Neurospora crassa OR74A: one gene and its partner. The protein of the gene in region 2 interacts with the protein of the main gene of each other region in a pairwise test. Links are inferred from orthologs where the notes say so. Each region holds a gene or a part of one and is shown on either strand. Other genes may lie near its edges.

Region 1 (7,373 bases), on a different chromosome or scaffold from region 2:
TTACTATCTCATGTCAACGACCGGAGACTCTTTTTTCTTTTTCTCGTGGTCAATGTACGTTCGTGTCCTTTGTATGCTGATGGGAAATTCCATGAAGCTTATACCTATAATGAATAATGTCTTGCCCTTGACAAAGTTGATGGAACTTCTGGAAGTAGCCTTGGCGGGCGAGCATAAACCGAACAGGAACAGTCCAATACTGTCCGTTGTGGTTAGGAAAGCTGCCAGAAAATCGTAGTAGGAATCATCATACTATGCAAACACGCTAGCTACAGTCCCTTCGGGATGCCTTTCGTTATACATGAAATGCCTAAAATTCAGGTTCAAAGGTACAAACAATATGCGTAGAAATATTATGAAAGTACACCTGAGGCATAATGTACAAACCACAATTGTGCAGACTAACTGGGTCTCAACAGATTTGTCAGGGACGAGCCAAGATCCATAGCGATTTTCTTTACGCTTCTTATATTCCTCCTATCTCTTATTTACGCTGATGCTTCATGTTATACCTACCAAACCAAGAATGTATGTCTATGTAGGCATGTAACCACAACATCCACCCCGACCTCTTACTCGGTAGTGTCCATAGCATCTCCGCCCGTCGCCGCCTCCGCTCCGGCAATATCACCAACAGCAGGCGTCACTTCCTCGACCTTGCCGCGAATCTCTGCCCTCCTGTCCTCCATCCACTTCTCAATCTTAGCCTTCAGTTCCGTATCCGGAATGACATCATCAATAGTCATGGGCTGTCTCGTGAACGGGTCTTTCGGGTCACTGAGCAAGTGCTGCACGATAGTCGACCGATCGACAACGTGCTTGCTGGGTAGAATCACCGGGTCCTTCATCAAGTCGCCCATGATGGGGTCTTCGAACTCGGGCGGTGCGTCGCCAAAGTCGAGATCAGCCTGGTCGACGATGGCCTTGGCCTCTTCGAAGCATTTGCACAACACCTCCCACGCGTGCATCTCGGTAGGATTCTTGAGTGCCTTTGAGCGAAGAATGTTGGTGGCAGACGCCATGGTCTCAGGCTTGTAGGATCTGCCGTCTGCAGCAACGGCCTCGACAAAGGCAGGCGAGGAACCCAAGTTCAGGTAGATGTCCACGAGCTGCGGTAGCAGAATCTTGGGGTTGAAGCCATACTTGTCGGGGTTCTCAACCTTCAACGTCCGGCTCTTAGGACCGGTGAGGAGGTCAAGGTTGAAATCGAGCATACCGGCCAGGCGGTGAACGATTTCTGGCATGGTGAAGGACTCAGCCAGGGTTTGGGTGAAGAGCTTCATCATGCCGACTGTCTCGTTCGCAAGCTGCATATAGGAACTGGCCTTGTTTTCCGCGTCGTGTAAATCGCTCTCCATCTTTTCGCGATCCTCTTGCGAAAGACTGGGGTCCTTTAGCTTTTGCTGGAAGTCATGGATCTTGGGGAAGTTGCTCAATGCTTCATCCAGAACGTATGTTGCATCGTTCATGAGAAGATTGACAAAACGAACGAAGAAGTCGCGGTCCACCCTAGGTCGAGTTAGTCGGATTCAGCAAAGAGATCGTAGGACAAAACATATACTGACCTGCTGGACTCTGTCAACTGCTTCTTGTAATGGTCATTGGTCCAGACGCACTTGATAACCTGGAAGATCTCAAAACGTATGTTGAACTTTTCGTAGAACGCGGAACTGGTACCATTCGACTCGCACTCAATATAGTACTTCATCACAGCATGTAGCAGGTAGTCATTCGCGAACTTGGTGCCGGTAAGGATGTCGCCAAGAATGCCCTTTTTAAGATGGTATGCCGGCCAGGTGCCCTGATAAAGGAGGGTAACCAGCGACGATTTCAAGTACGGGTTCTTGATGTACTCGGAGGATTCCAGAAACGTTATGCATAGAGCAACGACCTCGTCACCAATGGCCGAGACCATGACCTCTGGCCTATGGCGGAAGGTGAACTTCAAGTTATCAACAATTACCTGCAGAACATACTCGGGAAGACACCTGAAAGCTTCTGGCTGAGTTTCAGGCAGCGGAAGGCTGATTTTCTTCCATGGGACGTAGTCGGACTGACTGGCTACTCGCAGTAGCCACACAATCGTGTACTTCATGAACTGTAGTGACCGCGTTTGCAGCGTCTTGTCGGTCATAATGCCTTCGATGGCAAATTTGGCCGACATGGCGCTCTCCAGCATCTTGATCAGTCTCCTCTGCGCCGCCTCTAGCATAGGTACTCGTTCCGGATGATTGGCGACAATGTTGGGACGGTCAGCCTCCATAAGGGTCAAGTTCTTTTGGAAATGCTTAATTTGCTTGTCAAGTTCCTTTAGCTTGTTTTGGGTGGCTTCGGTGCCATACTGATGTGCCGCCAAAGCGAGGAAGAAGACCTCTGTTATAAAGTTGTTCTCCCCTTCGAGTTTTGTAGAGTAAAACGCGTCCGAGTGCTCTTGGTCAGCGTTGAGCTTGGTCTCTTCCTTGATGTCCAATCTGGGCTTCCGCCTGAAGTAGTCGACCTGAATACGGTCAATCTTGGTAAAGGAGTTATCCATGAAAGGCTTGCATAGATTGTCGAGGACGACAGTGACATTGACCATGAAGCCGTCCGACGAAACGGTCTTGGGGTCGACATAAGTGGCTGTGCGCTTATGGTTGACATTCATGATGTAGGCGAACCAGTCCAGGAGCTTGTTTCTCGAGCTAGTGCTTGCTCGTATGAAGGCATTAGCTATCGTCGTCAAGTGTTCCTGATGGGCAGCCAACGTCATTTGTAACGATTGTTGGGTTGTGCCAATTCGGCCCTTGTCAAGAGTCCTTGGTGCGGCAAAGTCGTAACTGGCCGCCTCTGGGTGTAAGGGCGACAGGCGGAAGAATGGCCCGAGCAGCGTGAACCGTTCAATGTTGGGGGCTGATTGCGCCATAAGGAAAGTAGGGTGTTCCGCCAAAGCGTTCACGAGAGCCGGATATCTCGAGTATGTGAAGAGGGCCTGTGAGGTTCCAACGTCAACGCTCAGCACAATTCGTTCAAGTCGCTTGTCAAACTCACCTGGACGTGCGGCTGATAATCGCCGTTCATGTTTTTGGTAGACAGCGCTGTGCTGATTTCCACCATGGCCTTGGTGAAGAGAGGTACAATGCTATCGTCGTCCTCGATCCGTGTCATGGCCTCGTTGTAAAACTCGATGTCGAGGCCTTCTTCCTTCGCAACACCTTCCAAAATGTAGGGGACTATGGTATCGTGCTTTGGGTTTGGTTCTCGACTTTTCAAATTTGGATCATGTCAGCTAGAGCAAACTGTAAAGAGGACACGGGGGATAAATACCCAAACATCTCGGGCATAGTAACGGCGAAGATGCAGTTCGAGAAGCACAAGCGCTTGGCCTCCTTGAGGGCTTCTTCCTTCTCAGGAGTCGACGCCCTCAATATCCTATATCTGGTGACCCGCTTCCAGCATGCCAGGAAGTATTCGAATAGGGGCTTGTGCGGCGGATAGATCCTTCCGGCCTCCATAACGGCCTCTTGAAATCGGTCGATCGACAGCAAGGGCTCCTGATACTCGCCCCGAATTTCCTGGCTGAGTTCTGGCAGAAAGGTCAAGTTATGGCCACTGCTATCGAAGGTCTGGTTCGGATCGAGAGACACGCGAAGGATGCTGGTGAGTAGCTTGTCGGTCCATTCCTCGAGCGTCTGTTCCCTGTATTGCTTTCGCGGTGCTGGTGGGCATGGAATATCATCAATATTTGAAAGGGATCTTTCTCTCTTTCGGGAAGCGGAACTACCTGGTGGTGGCTCTGGCACATCTCGTGACGCCGGCTTGATTATCGACCTTGGCTGAACTCGCGGTGCCTTGTCTTCGATCTTTGACGAACTCGCCGCCGCCGCCGCCGCCGCCACAGCAGCAGCAGCGGGAGGGGTTTCGGTGCCAGGCTGAGGCGTGGAAGAGGACGCAGCTGGCGATGTAGTAGAAGCGACATTGGGGCCACCGAGCTTAGCCAGTCGTCGGGCACGGATCTGCTCCATCGTCTCTTTATCAGGCGCATCCGGCGTGGCCGCCGGCTGTTGCTGATTCGGATCCATCTTGTCGTCGTCGTTGGGCGAAGAGGAAAGGGATTAAGGATGTACGGATATTGTGATTATCGTGACGGAGAGAGCCTAAGGAGAAGAAGGGCTCAAGCTGGCGGTGACGACGTAAAGCTGGATGTGCGTTGGGAGGTTGAGGCGAAGGATGAGGAGAAGGAGGATGGAGGTGACTGTCCGAAGCTGGAGGTTGTCTTCGGCTGCGGGTGCTCAAGGTTGGTACTTCGCTCTTGAGCTAACCACAGTAGTATGTGATAGTGCGGGTGCCAAAGTTAGGTAGTAATAAGGAATGACTCTAGCATACTCTAGCGGAAAGCCCTCGGATAGTGATCAGGAGGAAGTAGCAATTCCCATGCACCTTTTGCGCTGACAAGATTACGTTGACATCTGTGAATGTGACGTGGAGCCTGCCTGCCCCGAACAAGCCTACTGCATGGAGCTCCTGGAGTTCACAGGTTGGCGGGGTATTTCGGGACGTTACTTACATTTAGTGCTTTTGGCGGGACATGATTTACTGCACTGTAGGCAATACTGGTTCGATTGTTAGCTCCCGCGGGTCTTTGGATCAACTTCCCGTCCCTATAGCTACCTCTTAGACTATGCGTTTTCAGACTGGGAATATGCTTCCATTTCTCCAAAATGAAAGAGAACGAATTGGATCTTGTTCATGCCTTTCATTCAGTCCTTGTACGGTTTGGGACAATTCGGAAGACGGGAGATCTCGTCCAGTGTACCAGGAGTACCTCTAGGTACCAAGCTAACAAACAAACCAGCACCATTGTACTACATATGTAGTCTACCATAAGGGGTACTTCTATGTAGAGGTAACCTCGCAACCTAATGAAGCAGAAACGGGCTGAATGACAAGAAGATGATAACTAATTCTTCGTTGGCGTTTTTCATGGAAGGACCCTAGAATCACTAGTATAACGCTGGATGTGACAGTGACTTTCCTTCGCCGTAAATGCGGAATGCAGCTGTCATTGTTCAACTCATCTACATGAATAGGTAAGAAGATTACGGGGAGCCAACAAAGTCAAAGCATTCTAGATACTTTGAAAGCCGTCTTGTCCAAAACACCATGGGAAACAGACCTAGACCATGTAGCCGTTCTTTCAGTTGCTATTAGCTCTTTCAAGCGTGCCAAATTCCAACACAGAGGTTTGATTCGTCTCCTATATTCTTTGGTCTATAGGCTATCTAAGCTTTAGACCAAGGCCCGACGTTGCAATAAGACAACCTCCAAGTGCTTTCCCGATCCATCCCAAACGCCAACATACAAAACCTATGCATACCCGTTCTTCTCCTTCAGACCATTATGGTATGTTTCCAAAACCAACAGACACTGTTACTTCCGTTCGGGACGGCTCAGACACTGAGGCACAGCAGCAGAAATATATGACCCCAGTGTCTGCCCCAGGAAGGCGAACCCAAACATCCATCAAAGTCGAGGTGGATTCTCACCCCTCCCCACGCTACTCCTCCTCAACGGCGGGATATCACTGGTATTGAGATACCTCCCTCTCGCACTCTCTCCATCACCATTTCTGCTACTCTGCTGTGTCTGTGTAGCCGTCCTTGACGAGTTGGAAGCACCAGCCGCCGCCGCATTCGTCCTGCCTCTCCCCTCCTCGTTATTACCACCAGTACCGCCACTGCCGCCACCACTGCCACCACCACTAGCAGAAATATTTGATCTCGTAGTCCCGGGCGTTGACCCAGAGCCATTTTGCTGTCCGCGACTTTGCCTTTGCATGCTCATCAACCACGTAGTATGCATTCCTAATACTCCCACTTTACTCCCAAGCTCGGCGATTTGTTCATTCATCCTCATCGTATCATTGACCAGCCTCATTGTGTGTCTCCCGTCAAGCTCCACCATCATCTTGCGCAAGTCTTCAATCTTGGCCTCCATGGCCTCAAACTGGGAAAGCATGTAATCCTCTGGTGACTCCCACGGCCCGTCGCCACTGTTGTGTGCCCACGGGGCCGGGGGTGCATCCGCCGCCATCGCTGCCGCCGCCGCTTGTGGGCTACTGTAGTTGCTGTCATTGTGGTGGTTGTTTTCTTGGTCGAAAGTTTCAAAGAGGTCATCCAGCGTGATGTTGTGATTGGCCTCGTCGATGTCTGCGTAGCCTGACGTGGCCGACTGCATACGGTTCAAGTTGTTGAGGGCATCAGCGGTTAGGCCTGACGATGGCGGCGCTGCTCTGGTGAATGCAGATGACTCCCGTACCCCACTGCTGCCAGCACCACCACCACCACCACTACCACCACCATATCTTTCCAGATGTCGTGTTCGTCCGTCTAGAGCGTCTAGTCGTCCCTTCAACTCATTGATAATCTTGTGGTCTTCCTCCCGCGCCTGCATGAGATTCGCAATCGCCTCATAGATGCACCCGTTCTTGAGATGCTCCTCGATATCTTTCCTCCGCGCAACCTGTTTGCACCCAGCGCTCCGGAACTGGCAGTGTGTTTCGACCTCGCGGCAGTCAGTCGCAATGTGCTTGGCCAGACGGTGGCGGACGAGGACAGCGTCGCAGTGCGGGCACTCGGCTTCTTGTCCCGTACACTCTTGGTCGTAGTGCCTCTCGAGGTCGTTGAAAGTAATGGCCATCTCGCAGTAGGGACAGGGCGTAACGTAATGGAGACACCCGTTCTCGGGGCGCGCGTCTTTCCGGCAGATCATCTCGTCGCAATGATGGTCGGGGCAGCGAACAAGGGTTTGTCCGCAATAACGTTCGACGTGTGCGTATAGAAGCTCCCGCGAGCAAACATGATCGCAGCCGCTATTTGGACACTTGACTTTGAGACGGTCGAGCTGGTCGAGTATTACGCGGGTTCGGGTCTGGCTAATGTCTCGGCTGATGTCGAGGGGTCGGCGGTCAATAGGGCATACGTGCTGGGTCTCGAGAGCGCGGTCGAGGCACGAGGCGCAAAAGGTGTGACCACACGTCTTGGTCGTCATGGGCATGAAGAAGGGCGTGTGGCAGATGGGACATAACAAAGCCTCGTCGATCTGTTGGGCATAGTCGAGCGCCTGGTAGTCGATTCCAGATTGAGACTGATGGTGCGTATGACCCCGTGAAGGGACTTGATACGGGCCGTAATCGGCAACTGAGCTGCGTCTGGAGCCGCCCGGGGACGAGGCAGGAGAACCGTAGATAGTAGAGGGGACCCCGGAGCCGAAAATCCGGCGTGCGTCAGCTCGCGAGGAGAGCGTAGGGGCTGCTACTCCTTCTTCGGGTGTATTCGGTGGCGGCATTTCGAATGACATTGGCAGATTGGGGTTTCTTGATTATGGTGTAGAGGGGT
Region 2 (7,069 bases):
TGAAGTGAGTGAAGCCTGACTTTGAGGCCCATCTGGGCGGGGAAGTTTGACACAGGCCAATCTCCCCGCCCCAAGACAAAGAATTGAAATTGGAGAGCGACTTTTCATGGTGGCTTGGTCATAGCCCTGAAAGCCTGAAAGGGCAGGCGCGATGACATGATTGCGATCGTGGCATCCGTTCAATTCCTCGCGCTGGAAGGAGTGAACAGCACAAAGGTGACGACCAGGGTTAGAGGGGTGAGTTTGTCAAATGCGCCCAGTGTAAGTAGAGGTACTTACCCTTAAGTATATTGCATCCGTCTTGTTGCTCAAGTTACCTCTACTGCTACTGGGCGGGTACCTCTCCTCCCTGTCTCGTTGCCACGTTCCTGGCCGTTGTGCAATGTCTCGACAACGGATCTTACGAGATGAGACACCCATCAGAGGCTAAGCTGAAGTAGGGGTATCTGCTCGAATTTGATGGCATTGCTGTTTCGAGAAATTATTAGTATTTTGGCGCCGGTTGAACGATGACGAGGAAGCCCGATTTGGACTGGAATGATGCAATGTCCTAAAACACACGGCCCAAGCAGTGTCTTCCACATGGCAGTTCCGAAGGGACCCTTCCCTAATTTAGTCATCACTGCCCGGGCAGTAGAGGTAAAAGCCCCTGTCGTCAGTGAGGATTTTGTTAGAGTACAGCTAATAGCGTCCCTGTACCTAACCCTGCCACTGGCCAGCTCCAATTGGGCTTCTGTGCCTGCGATTTTCTACCACGTCAAGCAGCAGGGCATCATGAATACAGGCAGTAGGAACCTCAACCTCACACCCTCGGGCAACCTACCTCGACACAGCAAACACAACGCCTCCCTGCGTGTCCGACACTTGGTCTCAGCGCCTCAACCTCCGATCTCTTTCTTTGTGTGCCCCCACGAAATCGATGTCCTCGCCATGTTATGACGTGTTCCACGCCGCTCCTAAAACCCGAGTCACTTACACAAGGCTGCTGTTGATGCAGGTGCCCAATTCAACGCAAGTATTGGATACGGACAGCATTGCTTAATTCCATCCGCTTCGTGCCTGGCCACTTCTTGGCTCACTAGAGGACTCATCATGCAGTCAACTCAACAAATTTAAGCACACCCGCCGGCGTCCGGCAACCAGCCTGAAATGGCCTGCTGTCGGCTGTCTAGCTTCAACCGTGGAGAGCTGTCATGTGTTCCTTCAGTCAGTGCAGCAACATGGCTGGAAACCCCCTTGTTCGGAGACAGAAAGTTGCACGCGACCTCTTGGTACTTGATGCTGCACCTCCAGTTGCACAACCGCCAGTCGTGCCATGGTCGCTCTTCTCAGCTGGTCGGTATTTCTCCGATGCGCCCTGCCCCGAACCGCGAGTGGTTGTCATAGAAGTTCAAGAGCAGGAGTCCTCGAAGAGTGCCTCGTATGTCCATATGATGACTCCTATTGCGTCCAATTTCTCATGTGGCTTGCCGGCATGGGAAAAAGACCATCTGTAGCTGAAAGACATGCAGCGGGCGGGACCTTCCATGAAAACTGCAGTTTGAGACATTGCTAACGAGCGAGGAAGATTCCATTAGATCCTTGGGATCCTGGTGTCGTCTGTCGATAAGTTTCGGTCCAACGTGGCAGCACAGCCTTTCCTCAACGAAGCCCGGGATTGGATCTCTTCGAGGCCCAGAACCGGAAGGTTGCATTTCACGAGATCGATTCAGGCAGCGCCTGTCCGCTGAATCCCGTATACAACAACCCACATGACCGGCGTCGCACGCGTAGCAGCTCTACCTTGACGGGCCATCTCTTGGGAAAGCGCTGATCTCCTCCTCAGTCCATGCCCTTGCCCACGCCAACTCCACTTCAGACGGACGAACGAAGAAGAATCCTCATCAACGTGAGGGCACTCGCTGCTAGTGCGTCGACATCTCGCATTGACGGACAGCCTATCATAGTGTAATAGTTCCATGATCTCAAAGGTTTGTGGAAGACAATGGTCGCTTAAGCACGTCGTATCCTTGCTTGGCCCGCAGCAAGAAGAACTGCCTAGGCGGTATGCTCTAAAGTGCGGTTAGAGATGTGTCTTGATGTACACCAAGGCTACACCAAGGCGGTGAAGGAGCAGATGCTCGATATCCTTGATACACTTACCTGGAGTATCCTGGCATGGTCCACGGACCATGCACTCTGAGCTGTACATACCTGTCTGGTATAGTCCATATGTTCTACCTCCTAGTTCGCTGAGGTTGACGCGACGGCCCATATAATGCCGCCATAACAACAAACGCTACTGATCAACCGAAAACGTGAGTAGTTTGCGAATACGATTTTGTTGTGCAGGTTTGACGGAAGACATCAACGAAAGATTATTCTCGCCAAACCGGCTATCGGCTGAGGGTCACTGAACCTTCAAGAATGCTGATTGCGCATCAAAGTAGGAGGTTTGATGCGTTGAGTTTCTTTCATCCACCAGAATAAAAGTGTAGGCAGAAGCGATGAAGTGTCTGCCATCTGAAGAAAGTTTGTTCAAAACCAGAGAAGGGAAGAGGTTTAGGTTTGTCAAGGGAAAGAGTGAGACGATTCGCCCTCGTCCATTAGTTTAGAAGGTACATGGATTTGGTTCGAAGCAGCAGCTAATCGACAGTACCCTGTCATCACACACATGCGATAACAAAAGCTACTGGACAAGCTGATAAGATGGGGGGAACCGGTCAGGTGTCAGGTCATGTGGATGCCGAGAGCCCGATAGAACCTCAAAGAAGCGGATGGGTGTGAGAGCAGGAGAGTACTATCAAGGTGTCGCAGCTGACTGGAACTAGTAGGTGACAAGATAGTGGCTCACCATCTATATGGCACGCAGAAGTTGCAATCAGGCACCGTTCGTATCATCCATCGATTCCATGTAGTATGTATACCTATGTATACGCCTAGTGACCGGCGTTCGTTACGTCGAGGCCCTGTGGGAAAGCTGAAGTAGGGTACTAAGGTACTGTAACATGCACTTGGTAGGTAGGGTTAGGGATGGAGTCGTGTTCAACGACAGAAGTGAAGCCTAAAAAGGCAAGAACCTCGGTGAACACTACACTACCTAGTATACCTTAATGACGGCTTGTAGTGGGGTCTGCTGCCTGCCGTGGAGGGGCTCTTAATGCCATGCCACCCACCTGCCACTGTTGGCGGCAGCGCTTATCGGCCTCCGCCTGTGACCTTCCAACATTACAACAACTCAATTACTTTGGTTCCCAACACAACCCTTTTCCGTAGCATCACCATTCCTCAACTTTCACCAGCACACGAAGCTATCGTAATTCCATACGAACGACTTTGCAGCAGGCTTTCACATAATCCCATCACAAAGTGCTGAACTCGAACGTGGGGCGATCGGAGCTCCCCTGAGACCAACGTCATCATCCACGACCGCCATTAACCGTTTCATTGCCGAATCGTAAAGCGATAGAAATCATGGCTGAGGCTTCAAATACTGGCGGCGATGGCCAGATTACCTTCAAAGTAAAATGCTCAGGCGACAAGAACCACACAGTCACCATTGCCGAGTCTGCGACCGTCCTTCAGCTCAAGACCCTGTTAGCGGGGGAGGAATACGAGAACATCTCGCCGGAGCAGCAACGCCTCATCTACTCCGGAAAGGTCATGAAGGACGATGAAGTTCTTAGTTTCTACAAGATCAAGCACATGAACACAGTGCACATGGTTAAGCGTCCAGCCAGCGCCGCGACAGCCAGCAGTGGCTCAACCTCGACACCCGCTCAGCCCGCGATACCTCAGAACATGGCTGCCGGCACTCCCTCGAATAACCTTTTAGCTGGCCTCACAGGCGCTCGCTTTGCCGGTCAGGTGCCGCTACCAAGCCGAGACCTGTTTGGGCCGGACGGAGGAGTACGCCACCCCTTTCTCGGCCCCCTGGACCCTTAACATAGCTGTTTACTAATGATGTTTTATAGATGGGCGCGCCTCCTAGCGAGGATGAAATCGCGAACATGCTCTCGAACCCAGCGATGGCCCAGGTCATGGCCGAGGCGTTCAACAACCCCGCCGTCATCGACCAGATGATTGCCTCCAACCCGATGTTGGCCAACATGCCCGCTGATCGCGCTCGCGAGCTTCTCAACTCTCCGATGATGCGCAACATGATGACGAACCCGGAGGCACTTCGCATGGCGGCACGCATGCGTAGGATGATGGGCGGAGGCGCCAACGCCTTTCCAGCGCCCGGGGTAACGGACAACACTCCGAACGCGACGACCGGTGCCGGTAATAACAACGCCAATGCCGATGCGCAGAACCCGTTCGCCATGTTTCTTCCATTTGGTGTTCCTCCGGCGGGCGCTCCCCCAGCAGGTAATCCCTTTGCCGCGCTCTTTGGAAACCCCGCGGGGTCTTCGCCTGCGTCTACCGGAGCTTCGACCGAGAGTGCCAGGAGCGGGGATGCCGCATCTGCTCCGGCTACTGGCGCCACTTCGGGGTCTGGGCAGCAAGCAGATCCGTTGGCATCTTTGTTCGGAGCGCTTGGAGGTGCTGGTCAGCCTGGTCAGGCTGGTGCCGCGAACCCTTTTGGTTTGCCCCCTATCTCGCCTGAGGCCTTGCAGCAGATGATGCAGGCATTTGGTGGCGGTGGTTTGGGTGGTTTTGGCGGAAATCCCGTTGCTCCTCCCGACAACAGGCCGCCAGAGGAGAGGTATGCTGAGCAGCTGCGTCAACTCAACGATATGGGTTTCTTCGATTTTGATCGGAACGTTGCTGCACTACGCCGCAGCGGTGGTAGCGTACAGGGTGCTATCGAACATCTTCTGGGCGGTTCTTAACTTAAATTTCTTTACTAGACGGTGCAGAGATGTGGACCGGAGATTGACAGTTATCTGCTGTTCCTCAAGGATACGGCGGTATTCACAATGAACGACAGAATGTCGAGGGGATAGTGGATTGAAGGATGTCCAGGGAGTGCAGTGTTATCTCCTGGCGAGGTCATTGTTGGGCCGTGCTAGATATATTTTAATCAAATATCTAGCGATAATGGTTGCTCAGGAGGACGATAGACAGTCCAGCACAGAGACGATGCTCAAAACAACACCCCTTCAGCGGGTGTCCTCACGTAAGGAGGTTTACATGTTTACAGTTTAGCGATCTTTATCAAACATGTCTCCTCTTGCTTGAATCAACAAGGTTCTTTTGTCCTCTAAGAAGACGAGTTCGCATACAGTAGCCGGGCTAACTATCAACACCACTAATCAACTCTTATTTGCATGCTATCATTCCCTCTACCGATAAAGCACCGTCAAATCCCCAGCCGGCACCGGAAAGTTCCTCAATTTATCCATAATCTCCGCGTCCGTCATGTTCCTCTCCGTCATGATCTGATCAAAACAATGTCGTCCATCCATATACTTTTGCAACGGATCCCCACTAGCCTTCATCATCATCGCCATCTTCTTGCTGTTCGACCCCTTCCCCCCCGGACCCCCATGACTCCCGGGTTCACGATAGGTATCATAATGTCCGCCCGGCACCGCCACTTTATGTTCCCTCCCCATTTCCCCTTCGCCATACCCCCTCCCACTTTTCCCTTTGCCTGTGCCAGTTCCGGTGTCGGATGGCGAAACAGGTCTAGCCAACCCCGTAGCTAGCGCAGCCAGATACTGTTTCGAGATAACATACTTGTGCACCCTGTACAAACACCCCTTGATGACGCCAAATTGAACTAAGCGGCGAACGTCCACGTACCGTAGGACGTCGAAGCCGGAATCCATATGGCCCTTGAGCCATTCGGCCACGGTTTTGCCGACGCAGAAGGTAGTCATTAGGCGGATTAGCATGTAGTTGGATATGCGGTATCCGTTGGGTGGTGGGGGCTTGTTAGACGGTGGGGAGGAGGAGGAGTGGATGTTGGAGGAAGGGTTGCGGGGGGAGGTGGAGGGCTTTCGTTCGTGGACGGGGGAGAGGTGGTGTTGGGCGTAAGGGCTGGGATCGCGGTCGGAACCACCTCCTGGGCCAAGGCCAAAGGGGGAGAGGTGGCTGTGGCGTGTGCTGGCAGAGGTGGAGAGGTTGGAGGGATTGTGGTTGTGGAAAGTGGTGCTTCCTGACACAGAACGGAGACGGTGGTAGTTGTCGGAGGAAGAAGAAGAAGAAGAAGGTCCGGCGCCGGTGCCGGTGTTGTTGCTGCTGCTGGGAGACGGATCGATAGGTCCGACGCAGACGTAGTTAGCACATTCGTCGACCATGCCGCCTACGTTGGCGATGAAGTCGTGGATGCCCGGGCGAGGGGCGTAGCACGCGCCGAACAAGAACATGTCTAGGAGCAGGATAGTGTCGTAGTAGAGCAAGTGGCGGAGGGCGAGCTGGGTCAGCTCGAGGGAGACGCCGGAGGCCAGAGCAATGCGGCGCACGTCGGAAACGCCATCGATATGAGCGACGACGCGCTGCAGGGTTAGATCCCAGGTTGGGTCGACGACGTCGGCGAACTTCATCTTGGCGACGGGGACGTGCCAGCCTTTGACTTCAGGGGGGTTGACGTGGTGAGGAAAGAGTTTCATGTTGATTGTGTTAGCGTCGTCTGTTTTGAAACGGTCAGCATTTTTTGTAACTAAGGTGATGAAGGGGGGTGAATAGGTAGGGAGATATACCAATGGGAATCATGCACTCTCCATAGTTATTCAGATCCTCCTTCACAATCTCCAGCAACGATTCTATCGGCCGCCGCATACTCACCATTTCATTCCCGTCCCCATCCACCCAACGGCCCCCGCCATTGCCATACCCATGAACCGCGACCGCTCCGCCCCTCGTGGCCGCGTCCTGGCTCAGGTAGCCGTCCTGCTTCTCCATCTCGGCAAAGGTGGCCGCCAGCCTCCTTACGACGCGTTCATAGGGGATCTGGTCCACCACATCGCAACTGATGACGAGCCCAAAGTTGAAAATGAACTCGTTCCGGTCGTACCGCGGGTCCGGAATGGAGACGGGGTATCCCAGGATGACGTACTTGCCGTCCGGGTCATTGACGGTGATGAAGCGGTTGCAGAAGGCCTTGCGCGGGATGATGTACTCCTGGAGCACGCTGAAGTCG

What was found.
Region 1: the proteins of NCU03028 (region 2) and NCU03357 interact in a two-hybrid assay, tested with the Saccharomyces cerevisiae proteins (2 studies listed by BioGRID). The link is inferred for Neurospora crassa OR74A from reciprocal best matches to the Saccharomyces cerevisiae genes DSK2 and UFD2.

The regions. Positions count from the first base shown.
Region 1 is NC_026502.1:986,707-994,079, forward strand, and holds NCU03357 (ubiquitin conjugation factor E4), read right to left. Parts: upstream 4,059-7,373; coding exon 3,304-4,058; intron 3,242-3,303; coding exon 3,028-3,241; intron 2,969-3,027; coding exon 1,566-2,968; intron 1,510-1,565; coding exon 573-1,509; 3' UTR 443-572; downstream 1-442. Other genes in the region: NCU03356 (hypothetical protein), read right to left, coding at 5,500-7,335. UniProt on the Saccharomyces cerevisiae protein: E4 ubiquitin chain-elongation enzyme specifically involved in polyubiquitin chain assembly.
Region 2 is NC_026501.1:8,390,881-8,397,949, reverse strand, and holds NCU03028 (deubiquitination-protection protein dph1), read left to right. Parts: upstream 1-3,184; 5' UTR 3,185-3,453; coding exon 3,454-3,888; intron 3,889-3,953; coding exon 3,954-4,814; 3' UTR 4,815-5,267; downstream 5,268-7,069. Other genes in the region: NCU03029 (hypothetical protein), read right to left, coding at 5,268-6,559, 6,630-7,069. UniProt on the Saccharomyces cerevisiae protein: Involved, with RAD23 in spindle pole body duplication. Involved in the ubiquitin-proteasome proteolytic pathway.